7 linked regions of the Xenopus tropicalis genome follow. The protein of the gene in region 1 interacts with the protein of each later gene in a pairwise test. Links are inferred from orthologs where the notes say so. Each region holds a gene or a part of one and is shown in the gene's direction. Other genes may lie near its edges.

Region 1 (3,500 bases):
CCCAAATGCTTGGTCCTCACATGGGTGTTGTTTGAAGTGGGTGTGGTTTAAAAAGGGGGAGTGGTCAAACTGACTCCCGTTAGCGGCCCTCCACTATGTATGCTAGAGAAATTTGGCCCTCGGCACCACAGAAGTTTGACTGGTGTAAGGAATGAGGTTGTTCAGTAAGAGAATGGGCAGTACCTCTAAACTGTTCATGAACTTGTGGGGAGGTATAGGTCTCAGTCATAGACTGCTGTATGTTTTAGCTCAGACTGTAAGGCCCCAATATAAGCTATAGTATTTCTAGCCAAATAATTTGTTGGGCTTTAATGTTGCTTTAATTCAATTCAGTCTGGTATCTCCAACTTTACCAGATTTACCACCACTAGATGGCGGTTCATTCAAATCTGTGAAAGATGACTGCACGAATCTGTATTAAAGGATCATGTAACTAACACAACAATCTGTGCTTGAATTGTTTGACATCTGTTTAATCAGTTAAGAAAATTTAAACTTGAAACACATATATTTACCATTGTAGGAAGTGTAGGAAATCCCAATGCTGGCACCAATTTAAATCATGGCAGGTGCCAGAACATTGAATGGAAGACCTGTTCACCAGTAAACTGCCCCAGGGATGGAAATGGCTTTTAAAGGAGAACTATACCCCCGGGCGCAAAAAGCTCCCTTAACTATAATTGCTTAGATCCCCCCTCACCTCTCCAATATTGCATAGTTTTAACGTTTCTACTCTGCTCCTATCGCTAACCGCTAGCTAAAAAAACAGATAAGCGCAGCCACGTACTTCACCGACATCTTACTGGTTGAAGACACTTCGGGTCTCTCTGCCAATACGAACTTGCTTGGCCACGCGCAGTTGGAGGTAGCCTGAAATCTGCTTCAACTGTGCATGCGCAAGCAGGCTAGGTGTCAGTGGTAAGACCTGAAGAGTCTTTAGTCAGTAAGAAGATTTCTCTGTATTAAGGGAGAGGTGAGGGGGGTCTAGGTAATGATAGTTAAGGGGGATTTTTGCGCCTGGGGGTATAGTTCTCCTTTAACAATTATGAGTATCCACTCAACTGCTTGGTAAATAAATATTGAATTGAATTAGAGGTTATAGTGCACCATTTATGTTAGGACTGCAACTACTTAAGTGAGCAGTTGTGTGTTGAACTTAAAGTTGCTTTAGTTATTTCCCAACTTGTAGAAAAGTGAGATAACTGCAGTTGACTTATGTGACGACTTGCTTTTTAAAATCACCAATACATGCAACAGGGGCAGTAATCCATGGCAACTAATTGCCAGTTTTTTGCTTTCAGTGTTTTGCCTAAAGCAGGCTGAAAATTGATTGATAACTGCAGTAATGGGTTACTGCACAGGTGCAGTTTTGCCCAATGTTAATAAGTGAGACCAAAGTGTCCTGCAGGGCCTGTATAATGCATAAATTAATGAATCAAATGATGCAAACTTTTAGTTCACAAGTATCTGTGGAACAATATGGGCAAGTTGATTTGCTGCCCATGGGCCAACAGTGAAAACCAAAAGATTTGCCTTCTGCATACAGGCTATCGTATGGATCCTGTGAAGAATTACAAAATGTGTAGCAGCTAAAATGTTGTGCCCCCTATACACACAATTTCTACTGAATTGCTAAAGAGGCAGTAACAGTTTTTAACCTGTCATACAGTTTGTTCTAATTATGTGTTTTTGATCTAGCTATTGTGCCTGCTTATGATGACGAGCCAAGGCCACGACCACCAATGGCAAAGGCTGCAATTCCACCACCTATGTATGATGAGCCAGAGAGACCAAGATCACCAACTGGGCCTAGCAATTCTTTCCTTGCAAATATGGGGTATGGAATATGGTTTTCTGTGTAAAAGAGTAGCTTACAATATTGTATACATTTATAAATAGTTTTGAAACTCTGACTGATAATTATACACAGTCCTATTAATTTTATTATCCTCAGACATGATCCAGTATCCCAACTGATTTCTCTTTTTCTTTTAAATGTAGCATTGAAAGACAATGCCTTACCTCATATATGATTGGCTAAACATACAGTACTTGCTTTTGGATGTATTGAATTAAGATGTATGCTGCTGATTCAACCTCTCTTGCACAAAATCACAGCCAATTATCCTGCGTGGGGGACCAAAACGATCTTTCTGGTCCAATATTTTTCAGTGATTATCAGATAACTGGACAGAGGAAAATCTGGTTGTCCCCAACTACATCGGGCTGTATATACTCTATATTCAGCCACACCGCACAACCACTTACATAATCCGCATATTGAACTGGCGACCAGACACTTAGATTGGGCTAATTTGTAAATCAATAAATGTTTGATCTTATGGAGTATAGTGATGCTAACTCAACAGTGTCCTCCAGTGCCTAATGTATTATCAAATGTGGCAGAATGCTTGTCTGGCTTTGTATGATATTTTTTGTACTAAACATCTCTCAGACATGGGACTGCTATTGTTTTACAATAGAAACAAAACGCATCTCACCTGTCCCTGTCCGGTGTTCCATAGGCACATCTCTAGGGTAATTACTGACAGGCAGATAGTGGTGTCTTTGCACTGGTTTCCACCTGAAACTTCACTGTGACGATCGAAAACTCATTCTGTGTGATTAGCCTAGATATTTTCTTTATGAAAATCCTTAGGGATAATTAAAAATTAAGGTGCAGTGGCATATTAGGTAACTTTTCTGAAAGTATGTATAAAACTGAAATGGGCAAAATTCCATGTATATATGGTGACTGTGCTACTCCCTTGCTCATCACTTTATATGGGTTCATATTTACTTACAGCTACTGTAGGGGGCAAAAATAAGCTGAGGTTTTGTGTACTTTGTTTCTGTTTTTAAAGTGGTACTGTGGCCCACAAAATCATGCAGAAGTATGGCTTTCGGGAAGGACAGGGCCTTGGCAAGCACGAGCAGGGTCTCAGCACTGCACTTTCTGTTGAAAAGACAAGCAAGAGGGGAGGCAAAATTATTATTGGTGACTTAGCTGACAAAGGTTTGTTGTTTTGAGTAACAATTTTCAGATACTAATATATAAAGTGTGTGTATGGATATGTGGATATAACTTATGTAGTGCATATAAATAAATATTTTTGTTTTTTTCCCAAGTTTTTTTTTTTTTTTAACATGGGTGTGTGTGTGTATGTATGTATGTATGTATATGTGTATGTATATATATATATATATATATATATATATATATATATATATATATATATATATATATATACACAAAGTCAAGAGTTTCACAATAACGCCTAATAGTGCAGATTCCTTGCTTCATTGGTGATTTTTTTCATTTAAAGTGTTTTAAATAGAAATTTAATCTCTTACAGTTGAAGCAGCTAAGAAAGCAGATCCAAACCCTCTGACAGAAATACTAAAGAATCCTACTAAAGTTGTTTTGCTTCAGGTAAGAAGGGCAGCAGCCCAAGGTTTATCGGCCAAAAATATGTTCATAGGGAGACTTTTTTATAATT
Region 2 (3,500 bases), on another chromosome or scaffold:
AGGATTTTTTCAACTTCCCAGCTTTTACACATTAACAGGCTCTGGCAGGAATTATGAATTCGTTTTATTGTTATGCAAGGTAGTTTTTACCAGGGTGGATAAGCTGTGCCCATTCAGCTTAGCTTTTCACTGAGCTGTGTGATGCCATACCAGTCATAATTTTTAACTCTTTTTTCCAAAAGACCGTCATGATTTGTGTTCAAAAAGGGGTGAGTTTCAGGAGATCTTTAAAATGTAACAGGGTGTTATGTAGGAGAGCTTTGGGAGTGGTTAAACATGTCATGACTTTCACAATAAAGACTGTGACAATGACATCTTCATTGTTTTGTATGATGTTATCTTTCTCTTCTTTAGGTCTAGGTGGGCTGATTCCCCCTTCCCATTTTGAAAACCGTCGTCGTGTGTCTGTTCCTCCACCTTCTGTGTCGGTTACATCTCATCCTCCAATCTGTGAACCATGGACAGACCTTGCAAGGGAGTTGGTAAGCCTAAGGCAAGCAAATGAGGAACTGAGAAAGAAACAAGAGATGGAGAAAGAAGTTATCCAATCAAGGTATATCTAAAACTAGTGGTTGCTCATCTTCCAAACACTTTTTTCAGTTTAATTGTTTTAAGAGAGATTATTTTTTCTAATATTGAAGTTTAAAGTTGCTGTTCCTCTCTCTGGTGCTTCAGTCCAGCAGCTCATTAATCCAGATGCAGACTATTACAATTTGATACTTTTTCGGTGTCTTCTATCTAATGTTAGCAAACATTGTATCAGTTATAACAGTTGCTTTTAATGAAAGCTGGGATTATGCTCAACAGGGCCAAAGAAATGCATCAACTAATGGGATTAGAACAGTTAAGAGTTGGAGACCCCCTCACAGAGCTCACCAGGGAGTAGGTGAAAATGAAACTTTAAAGGGGATGTTCACCTTCAGAACATCGTCTGAATTTGAACAGGCCCTGTGAGAAAAAAACATTTTTGCAAAGCATCTTTATCTTTAATAGTCAGTACTTTAAGCTCTTACTATCACTATCTACTGCTATGCTCTCAGTAGGGGATTTTCCAGATCATATATATTCAATTCCTGACTTTTCAAGAAAAGCAACAGATTAATAATATACTCCTAAAAAGTATAATGTGTCTGCACCAGCATCTTTAACAACTCTGATTGTGGATACTTACAGTTGTTGTCCCCAGCAATATGTCTGATGGCTGCACATTCAATATGTCCAATGTCAGCAATTCTAAACAATACGGTGTGATTTAGCTGTCGCACAAATTTCTCACATGCTGCAACTTTTGTGCAATATGTTGAGTGACATGATAATTTGCATTTATCATTACATGTAAAGTCCTTCACATTCTTTTTGACGTTATTTTGTAAGATCATTATACCATACTAGACCATTTAGTTTGGAATTTTGGCCAGAAAAGATTGATACAGTAGACAATTGCATGACTAATGTAGTTCTTCTTCACAAACTTGGGCATAAACAAGCTAAAAAAAATCTTGCTGCGCCTTGAGGGTGGGCAAAATTGCATTAACAAAATAAGGTAGAAAAGTAAAGGAATCTTATGTTTTAATATCTAGCCTTAGGTCTTAAACAGGTGTAAGGGCATGTATTACACAGACATTTCTTTCTGGAATGGAGTAAACATTTGGATTATATTCAGGACAGGTTGTAGATTCTTTAAATGGATACTGTCTTGATTTTTATGGTATACGTTTATTTCTAAATTACACTGTTTACATAGCAGATAATTCATTTTACCATTTACAATTATATTCTCGAACAAAGAAACGTATTTTTTTTAAGTTGTAATATAGGTCTTCATAATTAAGATGACCAATTAAACTTGTGCTGTCTACACCATACTAAAATGTGTGAACTACATATTTACTTCGGAACAGCCAAATTAAGTTAAGCCAGCCACTTGAGAACTCTGTAAGGTGTCAGTGGCCACCCTGTAATTTCTCTGGGCCTGTACAATTTTTTTCCAAAAAGGGGCATCAGGGTTTAAATTTGCCTTTTCTTGCCCTTAAAAGGGGAACTACTATACAGTGGATGAAAAAAAAAGTTTACAAACTTTACAAATGCAATGCATGTATTACTTTGTTGAGTTTTTTTTTTTTAATCATAATGTATAAAGCGATTTATGCCTTGGCATAGCTTCTTTTCTGCCTCTGTTGAAAGAGTTGCATCAGAGATGCTTTGGTTGACTGAGAAAACCTGCCCAGCATAGTTATGAACATCTACCTTCTTTATTCTTCCATGTTGCACACACCAGTAAGCTCTGGTGTATACATAAAAATGCATTGGGACACACTTTTATGTAAAATCCACCTATTAGTTTTGTTAGTTGGCCCACAGTAAAAAATATAGGTAGCACAGCAGGTAAAATTTCTAACCCTAACTTTGTCACATATTTTATCCTTATTGAAATTTTTATTGAAGAGGCTGGCTCATTCAAGGGCACTGAATGGCAAATATATATAACAGGTCATATCTTTTTGGAGATGCCAAGCCCCCTTAAATATCCTTTATTATCTTATCTTATTTATTACCTATGCTTGTATAGAGGGGGTGATACATGGGCCCTATCTGAACAGGAGTGGTTGGGGTATGCACCGAGAAGACAGGAACAGAGAAAGGTCCTGCTGAAGTTTTATCCAGCAACCCATGCTTACAGGTAAACTCATGGGTCCAGTGTGCTTCAGGCTGACCTCCAACAGTTGCCCTGGAATCAGCAACTCACATAATATGGAACAGAACCAACCAAAATAGTTTTAAAAGTGCCCTGACTTAAAGCCAGATGGCAGGTGAGTAACAGCTTAAAGAACGAAACCCAGCTTTTACAGCATGTCCCCAAAGCATTACCACTAGTCCCTTTTCTAAACCACCGCACTGAAATGCATGCACCAGGGATTTAGTTTCTTATAGCGAGGCAGTGGTGATTCCTTCCCATGAAAATTAAGAAACTCCATGCAGTCAAATCAAGATAAATATACTGGCTGCATCAAATTCCTCTAAAAGGTGCCTTTGTTCAAGCATGTAGTTCTTCCAGGAGACAGTAAAAAATACTGGCAAGATATTCCTTTTTGTCTTTATAGAATAAGATTCTCCTCTGGGCATTGAACTTCAAAGCTGACATATGTTTCCCTCTGCTCAACACTGAGCTATTTCAGGGCTTATATTTTGGCTAAGAATGGCTACATTAATACTTAAATTTAGCAAAATAAATTTGTTCTGTGTTTAGGCTAATAATATCAGTCTATTGCTTATTTGTTATAGTTCTTAAAGTTTTATAATATTTCACCTTATTCCAAAGCACTGTACAATGGTTTGGGGATACTGGAAACTCTAGGGCAAACAGATAAAATAATTGCAACTATAGGAACAAATATAATGAAACTTGGGCATGAAGCCTTTTCTCCCAGTTGGGGGCAGTGGTGAGCGTTTGTGGCAATGTTTCACAACATAAAAGGGTAATGGGATATATAGCATGCTTA
Region 3 (3,500 bases), on another chromosome or scaffold:
TTAACTGTAATGTGGCTGTCTTGGGCTATCCCTAATGAACTGCAGATGTCACAAAGCAAAAGCATTGCAAAGCTGGGTTAGATATTTTGCTACCCCCATGTGGCCGCCTGCTATGGAAACGGGGAATAGGATGACTTGCACTTTGCAGGCTCCAAAAGTTTTATTACCCAGCATTAATCAGAGATTGGTAAAATAATAGGTATTTAATATATAACATTTTCCTCTTGTTCCCGTCAGAATTTTACAAACTTTCTCCCTGCTTGTGATTTGCCTTGGGGTTAAGGATTCTGCTGGATGATAGTGCTCACTGCTGCTGCTAAGCAATACCACCCCACTGGTTTTTTAACTGTTTACTGCAGTGGAACATAATCTATTTTATGTGATAAATGCCACTTCAATAAAAACTGTCCTGTAAGGGAAATGTTCCTAGCAGGAAGGTTTTTGATAAATGGGGAAAACATTTGAACTGCTGGCAATCCTTGCATTTCAGTGTTTGAAAATCAGCCTCTATTTTGGCTTCTGCAATATTGCCTGGGCATTTGCTGTGCTGTTCTATTCTTTTGTCATATTTGCCCTTTGGTGGTCTGGGTGGCCTTTTTTTGCCTTAGGTCTATTCCTTTTCAGAAAAACTTCTGATCATCTTTCACTGCTACTTTTGGTTTCAGTGAGTTCCAGAGCCACATGCAAAAGTGAGTTTTCTGCAGCCTGGCACTCACTGGGGGAGGGAGCAGCTGCTAAGGGATTTTTTTATTAGCTATAGCATCTGCCCTACTTCTGAAGTACATGGTACAAATTATGTACCATTCTAGCAGTTCTGTCATAGGACTTGATTTCTGGGGGGCATTCCCAAGTAAGACTATATTTGACTAAACCTGTGACGTGACTTATTTAACAAAGATGGAATTAACATTGAAAAATAAATCTGTAGACCCAAGGAACAGCCCTGCAACAAAAACAGTGCCCTACAGTCTTTTAATATTTGAGAAAGGAAAGCAAAAAATAAATACTGGTTACTGTTCTTAAAGGGGTCGTTCACCTTAAAGTTACCTTTTAGTATTAGAGACATATTCTGAGATGATTTGTGATTGTTTTTCATTTTTTATTTGCAGTTTTTGGCTTATCATTGCTAGGTCCAATTTAGCTTAGAAACCAGGCAGTGGTTTAAAACAGATGGATCATAAATAGAGGAAGGCCTGAATAAAAAGATAGGTAATAAAAAGTAACTGACAATAAAATTGTAACCTCACTGAGCAAGTTTTTGGCTGCTGATGTCAATGTCCCCCATTTTAAAACTTAAGTGTGTTAGAAGAGGCAAATAAATCAAAAACTATAAAAAATGATCAACAATTGAAAAGTTGCTAAGAACAGGCCATTCTATAACATAGTGAAAGTTAACCTAAAGGTGAACCACCCCTTTAAAAAAAGACTGAAAGCTGTCACAGCTTGCCTATCACTCTTCTCATCCATCACCTTGTCATCCAGAATAGGTTGGTTTGATCTATTATAGCCTGTAGGTAAACCCCATTCCCACTGGAGTAATAACTCTGTTCCCTTTTATGTGTGTGTTCTGTATAAGTTGATTTTTTCATAACTACTTTTCCCCTTTTCACATATACTGCCACAGTTAAGCATATTGAATATTTTTGCAACATCCTGTTTACTGCAGTGAGAAAAGGAAACTTTAAAATCAGTTTTTTTCCCTACATGTGAACATTTGCCACTATACATTTTTTTCCCAATTTTTTTGTTGTTGCTATTCCTGTGCCATGGAGTAACCCTAGATGGTAGCAGAAAAATTTTGTATTGCTTTCCAATCAAGGGCATATAGATAGGGAAGGTGTCTGAAGGTCAGTTTTATGTTTGTGTATACAATTTTGTATACCTTATGTATGTTCATATTTTAATTAGGCTTTTAATTTTAACTTTAGTGTTACAATGTGTGCTTTCCTTAACACACCTCTTTAATATTTATATATACCTGTACATGCTTGGCACACAAAGCATTTAATTCTACCATTTTGATTTTACAAATCTGTGACAGTCTGAATTAATGTCCATGTGTTACAGATATATGCTTGTCATATAGCAGGCATTTGTATGGTCTGTGTGCTTTTGGCATAAGGAAGAGAAACATTGGATGAAACACTTTGTTGCAGAGATGTTAAATTTGTACTCTTTAAAAACTTGCAAACTGTGGCCCTGTAGTTACACTAGAAAACTTCCAGTATGCCATATTTAGTTACTTGTAGTTCCAGTTGATATCAGACTGGATCGTTTTAACTAATACCAACTTCACCTTTTAATATTTGTATTTCTCCCGCATATGTTTTTAACAGCCTTTTCAATTGACTTACACTCAGTGGGATGTGATATCACAAATTTGTTACTTTTAAACTGGGATGTTGGAGGTTTACATGATTTTATACATATCCCTAACCTCTCCCTTTTTTCTCTCCTCATAATGTTTCATTAACTTTTTAAATTTTTTTTTTTAAGTAAAAGCAGGTTTTAGAGAGGTTAATGTTTCTTTTGAAGAATTTTAATAACCTTTGCACCTCTTTAAACAGGTCTTTTATTGCCATGTCTCCCCATTTAAAAACGTCTATCAACTGAAGCGTACTCAATAACCCTAATGTTGGCTTTTTTTCTCAAAGCAGCCCTCAGTTAAATTTGTCTTTTTCGGCCGCGTATTTAACCACACTTTGCAGCTTTAACCTGCATAATTTCTCTTTAGCGCAAAATTTAGGTTCTTAGTTATTTTGCCCTTTCCTGCCCATTTTAAACCATTGTTTATGTACCTTTCTGGGGTGAGAGAAATTAATTTTAAGTTAGTGGGGTTTTAAGAATACTTCAGGTATTTGGGTTTAAGATTTGATCAAAATGGAAACTTTTAGTAGAGTATTGAAATCTTAGAAAAGGATTTATTTTTCCTCAGGATAACATTCTAGAAACACCTTATTTTCTTTTAATTATATTGGTCCTTTTTGCTTAAAAAAGTCTTAAAACATTCCTATCTAAGAGAATCTTTGCTTTTGAATGTGAGGTGATTACAGTTACTACTTTTGAGTTAACTCTACACAAGTATATCTTATTAAAGTTATACACGAGCAGCCTTAAAGATTAATGGATAGATAGGATTTTTTTTTCTGTTGAGGTGATTTGAGGTTTTTTAACAAAGCAGTCTTTAAACTAAAGTTTGTTCCACATGCAAGTTTAAAGTAATTCTGCCCTCACAATGTATTCTTGTTTCCTTACGAGCCTTGTTAATCCTGTTCTGATGCCAGGCTGTCTACCTTTATGCAGGTCTCCATCACCAGAACCAATTTATAACAGTGAAGGGAAACGGCTGAACACACGAGAGTTCAGAACGCGCAAAAAGCTGGAAGAGGAACGTCATAACCTCATCACTGAAATGGTGGGATTAAACCCTGATTTTAAGCCACCTGCAGATTACAAGTAAGGTTTTGTTTGGGAACTTTCTTTAGCACAATTGATGTTTC
Region 4 (3,500 bases), on another chromosome or scaffold:
GTTCAAGCACAACAGGTGCAGGTGATTGAAAACTATTTACATTTTCTTTTTTGGCCTAAGTAACCCTAGAAAGCGAATTAAGCCACCTACATCAGAAATGTACAGCCTGTGTATCTTTAGAAGTTTGGGAGCTGCAAAATCCAAGACCCAGAGTCGAAGCAAAAAAAACTGGGCAGTTGCAGATTGGGCTTGGCTGACAGGTGAAACTAGTACAGTAACCAAGCAAAATCTGTCCATAGTCCATCTACGGTATTCTAAAATTATCAAAGCTGTTACTGTACTTTTGCAAATTAGCCCTTTGTTTCTAAAAGTCGTAGGAAAAAAACAAACAGTGGCTCAACTGCAATTCTGAAAATGTTGATTTTTATTCTCTGTTGATGGGTTCATCCTTTTCATAATTAGGCGCTGGTTTCCTTTTAATTCAGACCATACCTAGTAAACACGCGCAGATGTTGAATCCCCCCCCCCCCACAAAAAAACTCTTGTTCCCTTCTACTAACAATTAAACAAAACCTATCTAGGATTATATGATGTTTATCAGATCAGCTGCACCCAATGGGATTTAATGGTTTATATTCAGTTGTCTTAAAAAGAAAAACAACCTAAATAGCCTGTCTTCTCTCACTGGAATTAAAGAAAGCCACAAAACAACACTTTTTAAATAATAGTAGCATTTTACATGTGCTTCATTAACATGTTTCCGTGTTTGTAGCGTTTGTATGGTTCTTTATTTTGCTGGCAGAGCACATTTAATCAAGTTTTACTTTTTTTATTAATTGAATTATATGTTTAGGAAAAAATACCTGGCTATGTGCATAACGAGCCCCATTGCGTTCCTTGACCCATGTCTATACATTATAAGGAATCCTTGCCATCACCTTTAAACTCTGTATCAGAATTGATAGATTGCCTGAAGGCTTTCAATTTTATATTTTAATTTATTGCAAAGATGTTGGTGGCTTAGTTTCCATTGTTAATTTCAGATTCATGAAGCACTCACCAGGCCTTGGAATCTTCTCCACCCTGCCCCACAGCTGAATCGAATGAACCTCTCCCCCGAGGGGTCCCAGGATTCTGGTATTTCAGAAGACATGTTGGTTAGTTTCCCATGGGCCAGACTACAGACACTAAAGATACAAAGTACCTAGAATAACTGCCAATACAAATGTAAAACAGATGCAGGAAAAAAAAAATATCTGGAGCAGTTATTTAATAGACTGTACTTGAAATTCTATAGACCATACAGTGTCAGTTTTCATTAACCATATATCTGATGCTGTAGCAGCAGGCAATAAACCAGTAACCTGCAGTCGTGTGTGCATGTGTATAGAAAGAATATGTTATGCGCTGGTATGTTTGCTTCCCTGACTTGTTCTTGTGGCACATGTTTTTGAAAGAATCTGAATGTGCAGTTATTGTTGTATATAATCACTATAAAGTAGAACCCCGGTGCTTGGGCTTTGTGCTAAAACAATGTTAAATTCTGGGAAAGAAAAAAAATGCAAATTATCTGTGTGGAACTGCAAAAAAAAACTGCATCTCTTCCAGGAAAACTTAAAATCCTTGGATGTAAAATCAGGGTTCTACTGTAATATATACATTGGTTCTCGAAAATTTGTGAACACTTATATTTTTATATGAAACATCTGATTTTCAAACAAGTTCTGAAAGTAGATGAAGAAAAACTAGTTAAACAAATGCAACAAAAATGATTATTTGTTCATGTATTTATTGAAAAAAAAAATGATCCTAAAACATATCTGCATATGGCAAAAGTCAGTGAATCCTTAGGATTATTAGGGGTGCACCGAATCCGCTATTTCGGAATCCAGCCAAACCATGAAACCTTTGTGAAAGATTCGGCCAAATACCGAGCCAAATCCAAATCCTAATTGCCATTTGCAAATACACCAGCACGCCACAGAGGGCTTTAAGAGAACTGCGCAGTGTGACAAAAGGTGATTTTAAGGATGTGGATTCGGTCTGATCTGAATCCTGCTGAAAAAGGCTGAATCTTGCCCAAATCCTGAACCGAATCCTGGATTCAGTGCATCCCCTAAGCATTATCATATTATTTGTAGGTGAAATCAAAGTCAGTGCAATTACAATCGGGTGGAAGGGAGAGACCCTGTTTTATTTAAAGAACGAGGTTCCAGCAGAGCCTGATCACACATACATTACATTTGTGGATATGTATCATGGCTCAAACAAAGGAGGTGTCTGAAAAAGGTGTCAAAAAGAGTTGTTGATGCCCATAAAGCTGGAGAAGGTTACAAGACTCTCTCTAAAGAGTTTGGATTCCAACAATCAACAGTCAGACAAAATTTGTGTACAAATGGAGGAAATTCAAGACCGTTGTTGCCCTACCCAGGAGTGGTCGAGCATCAAAGATAACTCCAACTGCAAGGCATCTAATAGTCCGAGAGGTTACAAAGGAACCCAGTAATTTCTAAGCAGCCGAAGGCCTGTCTCAAATTGATGTCCATAAGTCCCACCATCAGGAGAACACTAAACAGCAATAGTGTGTATTGCAGGGTAGCAAGGAGAAAGGCACTGCGCTCCCCCAAAAATATTGCTGACCCTGTACAGTTTGCTGAAGGTCATGTAGACAAACAGAAGGATACTGGGAGAATGTTTTGTGGACAGAAAAAGTCGAAATAGAACTTTATGGCTTAAATGAAGAGTGTTGCATTTGGAGAAATAAAAACACTGCATTTCAGCAAAAGAACCTTATCCATCTGTGAAACATGGCGGTGGTAGTGTTCTGGTTTGGGCCTATTTTGCTGCACCTGGGCCTGGACGGCCTGCCATGATTGATGGAACAATAAATTCTTAATTTTACCAGGGAATTGTAAAGGAAAATATCAACACATCTGTCTGTGAACTGAATCTTATGAGACAGTGGGCTATGCAGCAAGATAATAATCCGAAACACACCAAAGAATGGTTAAAGAAGAATAAATGAATGTTCTGAAATGGCCAAGGCAAAGTCCTGACTTTAATCCAATCAAAATGTTGTGGAATAACCCAAAGTGAGTGGTTCATGTAAGGAAACCCACCAACATCCAAGAGCTGATTCTGTTCTGGAAGGAGGAATGGGCTGAAATTCCACCGATGTGGAGGACTGATCAACTGATCAACAGTTACTGCAAATGTTTAGTTACAGTTATTGCTGTACAAGCGGGTCACACCTTATACTGAGAGCATTAATCACTTACTTTTGCCACACACACAAATCTTATTGGATCTTTTTTTTTTTTTTTTTTCAATAAATACTCAATCAAATATAATAATTGTTTCGCTAGGTTTTCTTCTAGGACTTGAAAATTAAGTGATGTTTTAAGTCTTATTCTTATAAAAATATAGAAAAGGGTTCACAAACTTTTTTGTTTTATGCTGATTTACAGCTGTGAGGATGCTGGGAGTAGTAGTTTAGAACATTTAGATGGCTGTCAGTTTGTTATCCTTGGTTTAAAGGGTAAAGATGGACTATGTAATAT
Region 5 (2,180 bases), on another chromosome or scaffold:
TGTTGGCACTGCTTAAGAAACTTAGATTTAATTGATTTGTGGGAGATGTGCCTAATACTGAAACCCCTGGCGAATTCAGCTGTTCTGTAAAGTACAATGATGGAATCTATTATTTGGAATGCATAGGGCCTTGTGTGTGGTTGGTTGTGGTTTTTTTTTTTTTAACTAGAATTTCACATTAAAGTTTGTGCCCATTTGGAAACAAACCTTTTAGAAAGCATGTACAGAATAAACCTCTTTGTACTCATGTAAGGTTTGAGTCCAGATTCTGTATCCCTTCTAATGGATCATGGAAGGCATCTTCTACTTATATTTAAATGTAAAAAGATTGTTTGGCCACATATATATATATATATATATTTTATTCATGTGTCATAATTGCCAACAAGTAATTTGAATTGCTTAAAAAGGACTCTGGGGAGCATGGCCTTCCTTGCAACTGAAAGCTTTCTGGATAACTGGTTTAGAAACTTTAGATTCACAGTGTCGGACTGGGACCCCAGGGGCCACCAGAAACCCTTAGACCATGGGCCCACTCTCGGAACAATTTTTCCTCCTTTATTTACTCAACCACTTTATTCTCCTTAATGCTAGCATCTATTCTTCCATCTATTTCTCCTCTTTCTTTCCATTCAGAAATAGGGAATGACCATGAAACAGGCAAATGATCAGGAGCAGGAGGGCCCACTGACCCCTGGGCCCACCGGGAGTTTTCCTGGTATCCTGGTGGGTCAGTCCGACACTGGATTCATAGCACTTATTGTCAAAAACAGACTTAAACTGCTAAGCATGAAGTTTCTAATATGTGTTTGGTTTTTTTTAGGTTTTGGCATGGGATCAGAGATATTCAAGCACTTGAGTCAAGTAAGTGTTTATAAAGACATTTCAGCTGACTTTATTCAGATCCTTAAACCTGTTGGAGTCATGGTGTTCAGGGCAAATAACAGTTGTGCTTTACTACTGTACTGCAAACTTGTAATATTTGTTTTGGTCAAAGGTGCCTACCTATGCTGGTCAGAACTGAAATTGATTTTAGAGTTTCTATGACTGCCTTTTAAAAGTGAACTATTATGAGTAATAAGAGCTCTTTTTCCCATTAAACAAAGAATGTAATGGTTTTTCAGCTCATTTATAAAACTGCCTGTTACTAGGGGCTCTCAATGCATTCTAACCTCTTTTTTCAGATTGCGATGAAGTGCCGTTGTAGCAGCATGCACTTCCTGGTTGCAGAATGGAATGAGCCGTCCATAAAGTTCTACAAGAGACGTGGAGCAGCTGACCTTTCTACAGAAGAAGGATGGCGCCTCTTCAAAATCGATAAAGAATACTTGTGTAAACTTGCCGCTGAAGAGTGAAAACTCTCCCAGAGGCAGCAAATATCTCAATAAAAGAATAACATTGATTGTTTGCATGTCATTATTATAGTGTAATTGTAGAATAGCTCATGCAAAAGCTTTATTACCAGTGGCATTGTAATGTGGTTGTCTCCATATCCTCATAGCGAAACTTTTTGTGGCAGCATCTTCAAGTTCTTCAAACATTAGTTTCTCGGTTGTCTGTATTATATGTAACTTCATTGTTGTAAGTCATTTGTGTACAATGTACACACTGGTATGTAGGTTTCAATTTGTACTATTCAATTAACCTGTTTTTATAAATTAAAGAGCAGTTTTTGTTCTACTTGTTGTATCTGTCTGTCTTTCTACTTTTGCAAAGTTACCAAGTAGAAAAGAGAGGAACAGCTCTAGAAAGTTTGGGTCATGGCTCAGGGCATTCTGTGTAACCTTTTTATGTTGAGTTGTAGTCCAGGCTCACATGGGGGATGTATCGCTTAGAATATATTTTATACAAACTTTAAATCTAGAAGTATAAAATTTAATGTGTCTGTGTGTTTCTTACCCACAGTTCACCATTGTCTCCCAGCATGCTACCTTATTTGTGCCTGTCACTATCACATGCAAAACTTGGCATTTGATTCTGTAGAGGCAAAGCCTTGCTATTGTATAGAATAGTGTAAGTTGCTCCTGTCGCACAAACGGCAGTAATTGTCCCAAAGCACTTTGTATACACTTGCCATGCTGGTTTCAATATGTCAATGATAAAGTGCCATAGTGCCCTTTTATCATCCTGCCAGTCGTAACCGAGCCCGAGCCAGAAGTGTAGGATGTCTCTAGTGTAAG
Region 6 (3,500 bases), on another chromosome or scaffold:
TTAAATTTTTTTTTTAATTAGATTTACAAAGTTGTATTGGTAATGTACAAAATGCTACCAAAATCTTATACACTGCTTCATATTTTATAAATAAGCAATACTGTCAGCTTTAAAAATGTTGTTTTTGTAAAATAGATTTTACAGCAGTAACTTTGTTTTTGACTATAGGAAGTACCAGATGATTTGGATGGTGCTCCGATTGAGGAAGAGTTGGATGTACCTCTTATTGAGGATGTTGATGGAATCCCAATTGATGGTGCTCCTATTGATGACTTAGATGGTGTTCCCATAAAATCTTTAGAAGATGATTTGGATGGAGTACCATGTAAGTTTCTATCTTAAAATGTTGCTATATGGTTTAAATTTTGTAATAAGCGCAGACCACCTCCCTTGTGTGCCTTACTCCACTGGGAGCCCATAGTCCCATCTTTCACATTGCTTCATTTGTGATGTCGCACAGCCTGATATTAAGCAGTTATTTTGCTTTAGGTTTAGGATATATTTTTTAAAATATATGATCATCAAAGTTAACGACATCTGTTTTTGTGACACCTTCCAAGCCTAAATGTGGCAAGATTATGCATTATTTGTTATTCAAATGACAGACCACATTTGAGACTTTACCCTCATTTTGCATCTGATAATAGAGGTTCTTGGATGATTTATATAAGTATAGTTTCCTGTAAAGAGCATGAAAATACAAACTACAGAACATAATAGTGTCTGTCTATCTAGTTTTACCATGTAACATTTGGTGTTATCTTTAGTTTATTTAACCTACTTTAAGGTATCCTTTTTATATTAACTGGCTTGCTTTATTCACATCTAGTATCACAGCACCTTTTTTGGTGACATCTGAGGTTTTTGGTGAATGACTATACTATACACGTTAAAGGCTCTTAGCCTTGCATCCCATCTGTAATAAGCTGGGCTTGCTTGTATATAGGGGGCATATGATACCTGGCTAGTGGAGTTCCAAGAGTGCTTTGTATTAAAGTGATAAAAAAGGCAGTAAAGAAAGTAAGAGTATAGAGGCAGACAAGGAATATATAAATGATTGTCAAATTCTGCAGTCTGTGACAAAAGAGAGAGTGGGGGTGAATGGGCAGGAGGAGCAAACATATATTATTATATAAGTAAAATTCCCTAGTTAGTGTAAACTTGAGAAGCCTGTGGTTTTTTCTTTGTGGGAAATACATTTGTAGGAATGTGAAAATGTATTAGCATTTTTTAAGAGTTTATTTTCAGGTGCCAAGATAACAGTGTATTATGATAGCAAACATATACTTTTTACAAGATACTGTTGCATTAAATTTTTTTTTATTCTTCTCTTAGTGGACATTAATGATGATGCTAAGAAGAATGAACCCATTTTTAAAGTTGCACCTTCGAAATGGGAAGCTGTGGATGAATCAGAACTTGAATCACAAGGTTTGCAGAACATTGTGTATATTTTACATGCAGACATATTCTTTGGCTAGTTTGATTGCAAAGTAACACTAGAAAAGGTGACAAGATAGTTCATTGACTTTCAGCTTTGTAAGTCTCTTATTCAGTCATTTTTTTTTTAATAAAGAATCTTGAGATTTTTTTAATTGTATAATCGACTGTGATCATGTTACCTGAAGTTAATTTAAAATCACTCTTTCTGATAAACTGTGGCTCATATAAATGCCAGTAGACCACTGTAGACCTTTATACTGTTGCACTGCTGTAGTGAATAGTTAGGCTTATTTAAGTACTCCCTAATTTTACACAGAAAAGCAAGTGTTTGCACTTCATATTTTCTGTCAACAGCCTCTTGCTCCAACAGCAGAGGTGTTTTGTTTTTTTAAGGAAATGCAGTAACTTTATATATGAAATATATATAAAATGTAAATTATGATGTAAATACATAGTAAGTTAGGTTGAAAAAAGGCATACATCCACCAAGTATATAACCTGCCTAAGAGCTAGTTAATCCAGAGGAAGACCAAAAAACCTCATCTGAAGCCTCTCTAATTTGCCGCAGAGTGGGAAAAATTCCTTCCTGACTCCAAGATGGCAATCGGACCAGTCCCTGGATCAACTTGTACTAAGAGCTATCTCCCATACCCCTGTTTTCCTTTACTTGCTAAAAAGCCATCCAACCCCTTCTTGAAGCTATTTAATGTATCAGCCAGTACAACTGGTTTAGGGAGGGAATTCCACAGCTCTCACAGTAAAAAAACCTTTCCAAATATTTAAATGGAACCTCCTTTCTTCTAAACGGAGTGGATGCCCTTGTGTCAGTTGGAAAGACCTACTAGTAAATAAAGCATTAGAGTGGTTATTATATGATACCCATATATATTTATACATAGTTATATCACCTCCTAAATGCCTCTTCTCCAGTGTAAACACCACCACCGTGGCCAGTCTTTCTTCATAACTTTCCATACCCTTTATCAGCTTAGTTGCACTTCTTTGTACCCTCTCTAACTCAATAATGTCCAATTTGAGCACTGGAGTCCAAAACTGGACAGTATAGTCTAGGTGGGGCCTTACCAGCACTCTGTAAAGGGGAAGAATAACACCCTCCTCCCGTGAATCCACTGATAACCTTACTCCAAGCAGAGAATGTACCATTAACAACCACTCTCTGTACCCAATCCTGTAGCCCAGTGATCACCAACCAGTGGCTCGTGAGCCACATGTTACTCACCAACCCCTTGGATGTTGCTCACAGTGGCCTCAAAGCAGGTGCTTATTTTGAATTTCTGACTTGGAGGCATAAATGCCATATGTACTGCTAAACAGAGTCTTTTGTAGTCTGGCAGTCCCCATTGGGCTACTAATTAACCAATCTGTGTCCTTATTGGTAACCTACTAAGAAAGTTTTTGTGCTTGTGTTGCTCCTCAGATTTTTTTTTATTGAAATGTTGCTCACGACTATAAAAGGTTGGGGATCCCTGCTGTAGCCAGTTTCCTATCCATGTACGAACGACTTCACTAAGACCAGTAGACCTTACTTTAGAAAGCAGTCATTGTGGGGAACGGTATCAAATGCTTTGGCAAAATCCAAAAAGATCACATCTACTGCACCCCCACTGTCTAGCATCTTACTAACCTCATCATAAAAAACAATTACCGTATATACTCGAGTATAAGCCGATCCGAGTATAAGCCGAGGTACCTAATTTTACCTAAGAAAACTGGAAAAACTTATTGACTCGAGTATAAGCCTAGGGAGGGAAATGCAGCCGCTACTGCTAACAGCTACTGTGCGATCCCTTGTGTGCGCCAAGGCACTTGGAATTAGATGCAACAATTTATCACTGCGTGTACTGTTTACATACAGAAAGCATTTTTTTTTACGTGCAGCCTTATGCAAATGATTACATGCAGCCTTGCATGCAACTCACTTGCCCCCCCCCACCCTGTGGATGCACCCTGTAAATAATCGACAAGGTATAGTGAGTACAAGCTAAATGCATATAACCAGATACTGAAATGGCCAGGATATTACAGCATACCAATCT
Region 7 (3,500 bases), on another chromosome or scaffold:
AGTTTTTAAAAAGTGCAACATACCCAATCAATAGGGCTTGTGCTGAACATACTTTTTTGTTATAAATATGTATGTTTTTTGTTATACCTTACACCAAAAAGAGCAAAATATGAAAGTGAAAGTCACCTTCTGCTTCCTTTGTGACCACAGTCAAAACAAATCAGCAGTCTATTGTAGAATGAGCTACTCAATAGGCTGTAGCAGAGAAAGGTAGGGGTTTAAATGTCAAATGTGACTTTAACTTTTAGATTTATAGTGTGAGTCATAACTAAACAGACTTTTTCTAATTAAAAAGAAAAAGAAAAACAGGCAAAAAGTAATTAATGCTGAAAAAGGAGGTAAACTTTTTTTTTTTTTCTTCACAAGTTAGTTGCCTGCATTACACATGTACGACAGAGTATTGGTTCTGTATTGTGTTCCCCCTTAATCACTAGTCCTGCTGGTTTGAACTCAAACATCATTGGACCAAGAACACAAAATCACCCATGTTAACAAAAGTGCATGTACTGGTATTTTAGCAGTTGTTCATTTTAAAACATAAATAACCATCTCGTAACTATAACCTGTATAACACTCCACAGGTATCTCCTAAAACATTCTGCAAATATTGCTGCTGTAAATAGTGATGGGGATGTTCCGCTTGATATTGCTGAAGATGACTGTATGGAGAATTTGTTGCGCGCTGAAATTGCAAAAGGAGGTAATGTGTTTGTCACTAGTGTCCTGGTAATCCAGCAGCTGTCCTTGTATAGCCGGTCTGACAGGCCAGCCTATCCTTTACTCCCCTTGCAGATGAGCCCTGTGAGCAATTTCATATTTAGTTATATGTAGAGTATATATGTCCCCCATTAGTACACAAGGTTAACCCAAATGGGCTTAAAGCAGTGTATATCCAAGTGCTTATTCAAAACCTACCTGCAGCCATCTGTCACTATTCTTACACCTCAGCAGCTTACCATAGGATTTCTTCTTAGCAGTTAGGTAGTACTTTTAGGGTTAGGTCGCCTTCCATGCGTGCATATTTGCAGTCAGAAGAATTAAAATATATATTACTTTTGTGCCACTCAGTAACCACTACTTATTGATTTTATGCTTGTCGTAAGGTGTTGATATTGAGGCTGCAAAGAGGGAAGAAGAAGAAGTAATGCTTCGGGATTCCCGGCAGTGGTTAAATGCAGGAAAAATTGAAGACATCAGGCATTCAAAGACTGGAGCAAGCGCCTTGCATGTTGCAGCAGCTAAAGGCTATATAGAGGTCATGAGGTAAACTTGGTGGCATCATGATAACTTTTCTGTCTCACAGAGTCTTTTGAACATGTCTTGAAGGTATATTTTGCTTTTCTATGACCAGGCTTCTGCTTCAGGCTAATTTTGACCCAAATGCACGAGATAAAGATGGCTGGACACCTCTTCACGCTGCAGCTCATTGGGGAGTGGAAGAAGCTTGTCGGCTACTTGTGGAACACTTTTGTGACATGAATGCTCTTAATTCTGTGGTATGCTTAAATAATTTTTATAGAATATACCCATTCTGCTAAAAACATTGACATTGGCAACAATTATTAATTGCATTTGAGCAGGGGGCTCGCATAAGGGGAAATGTAATATTAGGTCTTGGCTAATGGTATGTTTAGCAGGTTGTGCCAGTTTATATTTGTGTAAAGTGCTATACTAAACACACTGAATGCTATACTAAACACACTGAATTCATGTCCAATAATTCATTCCGCAGCATGGGTACTAAAGATGATACACACAGGTCTCAGATGAGAGCATCTTTGGATAATGCTTTGGTCATCCTTGTAATCCCATTTAAATGAAGATCCATGGTAGTCTCTTGGTTCAAACCAACTACCTGTAGTAAACCAATCATCCTATTCTGGAGCCTACAGCACCCACTTTGGAAATATTTCATAAACAAGGACGCTATAAGCTGACCTACCTTAGAAGAGGGTGTCCCGACAAATTTGAGAACATTTGGGGTCCATAGATTGAAGATTTTGCCACATGTCCATCACAGGACAATGTCTACAGGTGGCGATACACGGGCAGATTTTAGCTGCCGATTCCAGTCCTTCAGGCCTATTCAGCTTATCTGCCCGTATATAGGCACTATTAACTGGCCTACCTGATTGATATCTGGCCTGAAATAGGCTAGATCTCGATTGGCCAGGTTTGATTTTCCCATTGGATCAGGGACAGCATTAGCTGGCCTAGGGCCAAACAATCAAATTAGCCCAATATTGCCCACCTCAGGTAGGCATGTCGAGAGAAGATCCACTCGTGTACCTACCTTGCCAAACAAGCGGATCTTACTGTGTATGGCCACCTTTACATGGCTGTGATTTTATATTTAACAATGCTGCCCTCTTTTTTTCTTTCCTATTTCTTTTCTTAAATGATTGACTATCTGGTTGCTTTTTATTGCCCCAGTAACCCTGAGACTGTATGATACCCTACTTGTGCATGGGCAACCAATGTACCTATAAAAATACAACAGTGTTTAAACAAATTTAGTGAAAGTGTGAGGTCAGCTTAGAAGAAACCTTATACAGTTGTTGCTGAGGTGAGTCGCCATTTAACACCTACCATCAACTAGTCAAAAACATCTGCCCCATCATTGATTAGCAAATTACATTAACCTATTAAAGATAGGGATGTTGGCAAATAAACATTCTTTAAACCGATTTTAAAGGAGAAGTAAAAATGGCTTCACCTTATGTATGAGTTATTATGAGTACCAGCTCAGATCTACCACAGCATATTAGCAGCAAAAATGCTTTAAGAGTTGCCCTCAGTTGCTCTGCATTTTCTTTTATGCTGATTCACAACACAAGCACTGGTGACAGGCAAGTAGTGGCACGAAACCAATGCACTGAGCATCAAAATGATCAATAATCAGCCTAGTAACATCAGCTTCTGCATCACTTGACCTCCCTTTATGCTAAAGTGTTGGTGTGGTGGTGTCCTATGACCTACTCGGCCTAGCTTTTTAACAGCAGCCCAGAGCACACAGGCAATGTTTTGAGTGTCCGTGACACCCCACATGCTCAAACAGGATAAGAAGATAGGTGTGTTCCTGTATAAAGCTTTGAAAGCATGGGTCATTATGGCTGCTAAACATCTGGCCTAGTATAGTAAATGTAGTACATAGAATACAGCATTTCTAGCCATATTTATTTTTAGGCTTTAGTTGTCCTTTAAATCTCAAATTGGCAAAGCATGGTACAAAGAAAAGTCAGAAAATGTTGCATTAATCTCATTTCAGCCATGTGCTATGCACAAGGGTCGATTGTGACAGGCAGAAATTGCCTTGAGTGTTCAAAATTAGTCACATATGGAATAAAAATGAGGCAATATGATAATATTGTAAATCCCTTCATCAGTAATGCTGCTTTCTGTCATATAGTCCTTACATTCTTCACTATTAGAATACTGTGCAGGAATTATTGCTGCCTTGTAGCGTGGCAATGCAGAAAATCAATAGCAATAAGAACAAA

What was found.
Region 2: the proteins of rbm17 (region 1) and cchcr1 interact in binary tests that used the Homo sapiens proteins (3 or more experiments, as listed by UniProt). The link is inferred for Xenopus tropicalis from reciprocal best matches to the Homo sapiens genes RBM17 and CCHCR1.
Region 3: the proteins of rbm17 (region 1) and sf1 interact in binary tests that used the Homo sapiens proteins (3 or more experiments, as listed by UniProt). The link is inferred for Xenopus tropicalis from reciprocal best matches to the Homo sapiens genes RBM17 and SF1.
Region 4: the proteins of rbm17 (region 1) and qrich1 interact in binary tests that used the Homo sapiens proteins (3 or more experiments, as listed by UniProt). The two-hybrid records come from large-scale screens. The link is inferred for Xenopus tropicalis from reciprocal best matches to the Homo sapiens genes RBM17 and QRICH1.
Region 5: the proteins of rbm17 (region 1) and sat1 interact in binary tests that used the Homo sapiens proteins (3 or more experiments, as listed by UniProt). The two-hybrid records come from large-scale screens. The link is inferred for Xenopus tropicalis from reciprocal best matches to the Homo sapiens genes RBM17 and SAT1.
Region 6: the proteins of rbm17 (region 1) and u2surp interact in binary tests that used the Homo sapiens proteins (3 or more experiments, as listed by UniProt). The link is inferred for Xenopus tropicalis from reciprocal best matches to the Homo sapiens genes RBM17 and U2SURP.
Region 7: the proteins of rbm17 (region 1) and ppp1r12c interact in binary tests that used the Homo sapiens proteins (3 or more experiments, as listed by UniProt). The two-hybrid records come from large-scale screens. The link is inferred for Xenopus tropicalis from reciprocal best matches to the Homo sapiens genes RBM17 and PPP1R12C.

Annotation. Positions count from the first base shown.
Region 1 is NC_030679.2:84,305,437-84,308,936, reverse strand, and holds part of rbm17 (splicing factor 45), read left to right. Parts: intron 1-1,698; coding exon 1,699-1,837; intron 1,838-2,864; coding exon 2,865-3,016; intron 3,017-3,356; coding exon 3,357-3,433; intron 3,434-3,500. UniProt on the Homo sapiens protein: Splice factor that binds to the single-stranded 3'AG at the exon/intron border and promotes its utilization in the second catalytic step. Involved in the regulation of alternative splicing and the utilization of cryptic splice sites.
Region 2 is NC_030684.2:75,151,315-75,154,814, forward strand, and holds part of cchcr1 (coiled-coil alpha-helical rod protein 1), read left to right. Parts: intron 1-354; coding exon 355-553; intron 554-3,500. UniProt on the Homo sapiens protein: May be a regulator of keratinocyte proliferation or differentiation.
Region 3 is NC_030680.2:40,405,225-40,408,724, forward strand, and holds part of sf1 (splicing factor 1), read left to right. Parts: intron 1-3,303; coding exon 3,304-3,456; intron 3,457-3,500. UniProt on the Homo sapiens protein: Necessary for the ATP-dependent first step of spliceosome assembly. Binds to the intron branch point sequence (BPS) 5'-UACUAAC-3' of the pre-mRNA. May act as transcription repressor.
Region 4 is NC_030680.2:136,800,374-136,803,873, reverse strand, and holds part of qrich1 (glutamine-rich protein 1), read left to right. Parts: coding exon 1-21; intron 22-983; coding exon 984-1,097; intron 1,098-3,500. UniProt on the Homo sapiens protein: Transcriptional regulator that acts as a mediator of the integrated stress response (ISR) through transcriptional control of protein homeostasis under conditions of ER stress.
Region 5 is NC_030678.2:43,102,164-43,104,343, forward strand, and holds the end of sat1 (diamine acetyltransferase 1), read left to right. Parts: intron 1-823; coding exon 824-864; intron 865-1,184; coding exon 1,185-1,355; 3' UTR 1,356-1,680; downstream 1,681-2,180. UniProt on the Homo sapiens protein: Enzyme which catalyzes the acetylation of polyamines. Substrate specificity: norspermidine = spermidine >> spermine > N(1)-acetylspermine. This highly regulated enzyme allows a fine attenuation of the intracellular concentration of polyamines.
Region 6 is NC_030681.2:119,916,822-119,920,321, forward strand, and holds part of u2surp (U2 snRNP-associated SURP motif-containing protein), read left to right. Parts: intron 1-168; coding exon 169-325; intron 326-1,335; coding exon 1,336-1,431; intron 1,432-3,500.
Region 7 is NC_030683.2:104,656,031-104,659,530, forward strand, and holds part of ppp1r12c (protein phosphatase 1 regulatory subunit 12C), read left to right. Parts: intron 1-581; coding exon 582-700; intron 701-1,103; coding exon 1,104-1,263; intron 1,264-1,351; coding exon 1,352-1,496; intron 1,497-3,500. UniProt on the Homo sapiens protein: Regulates myosin phosphatase activity.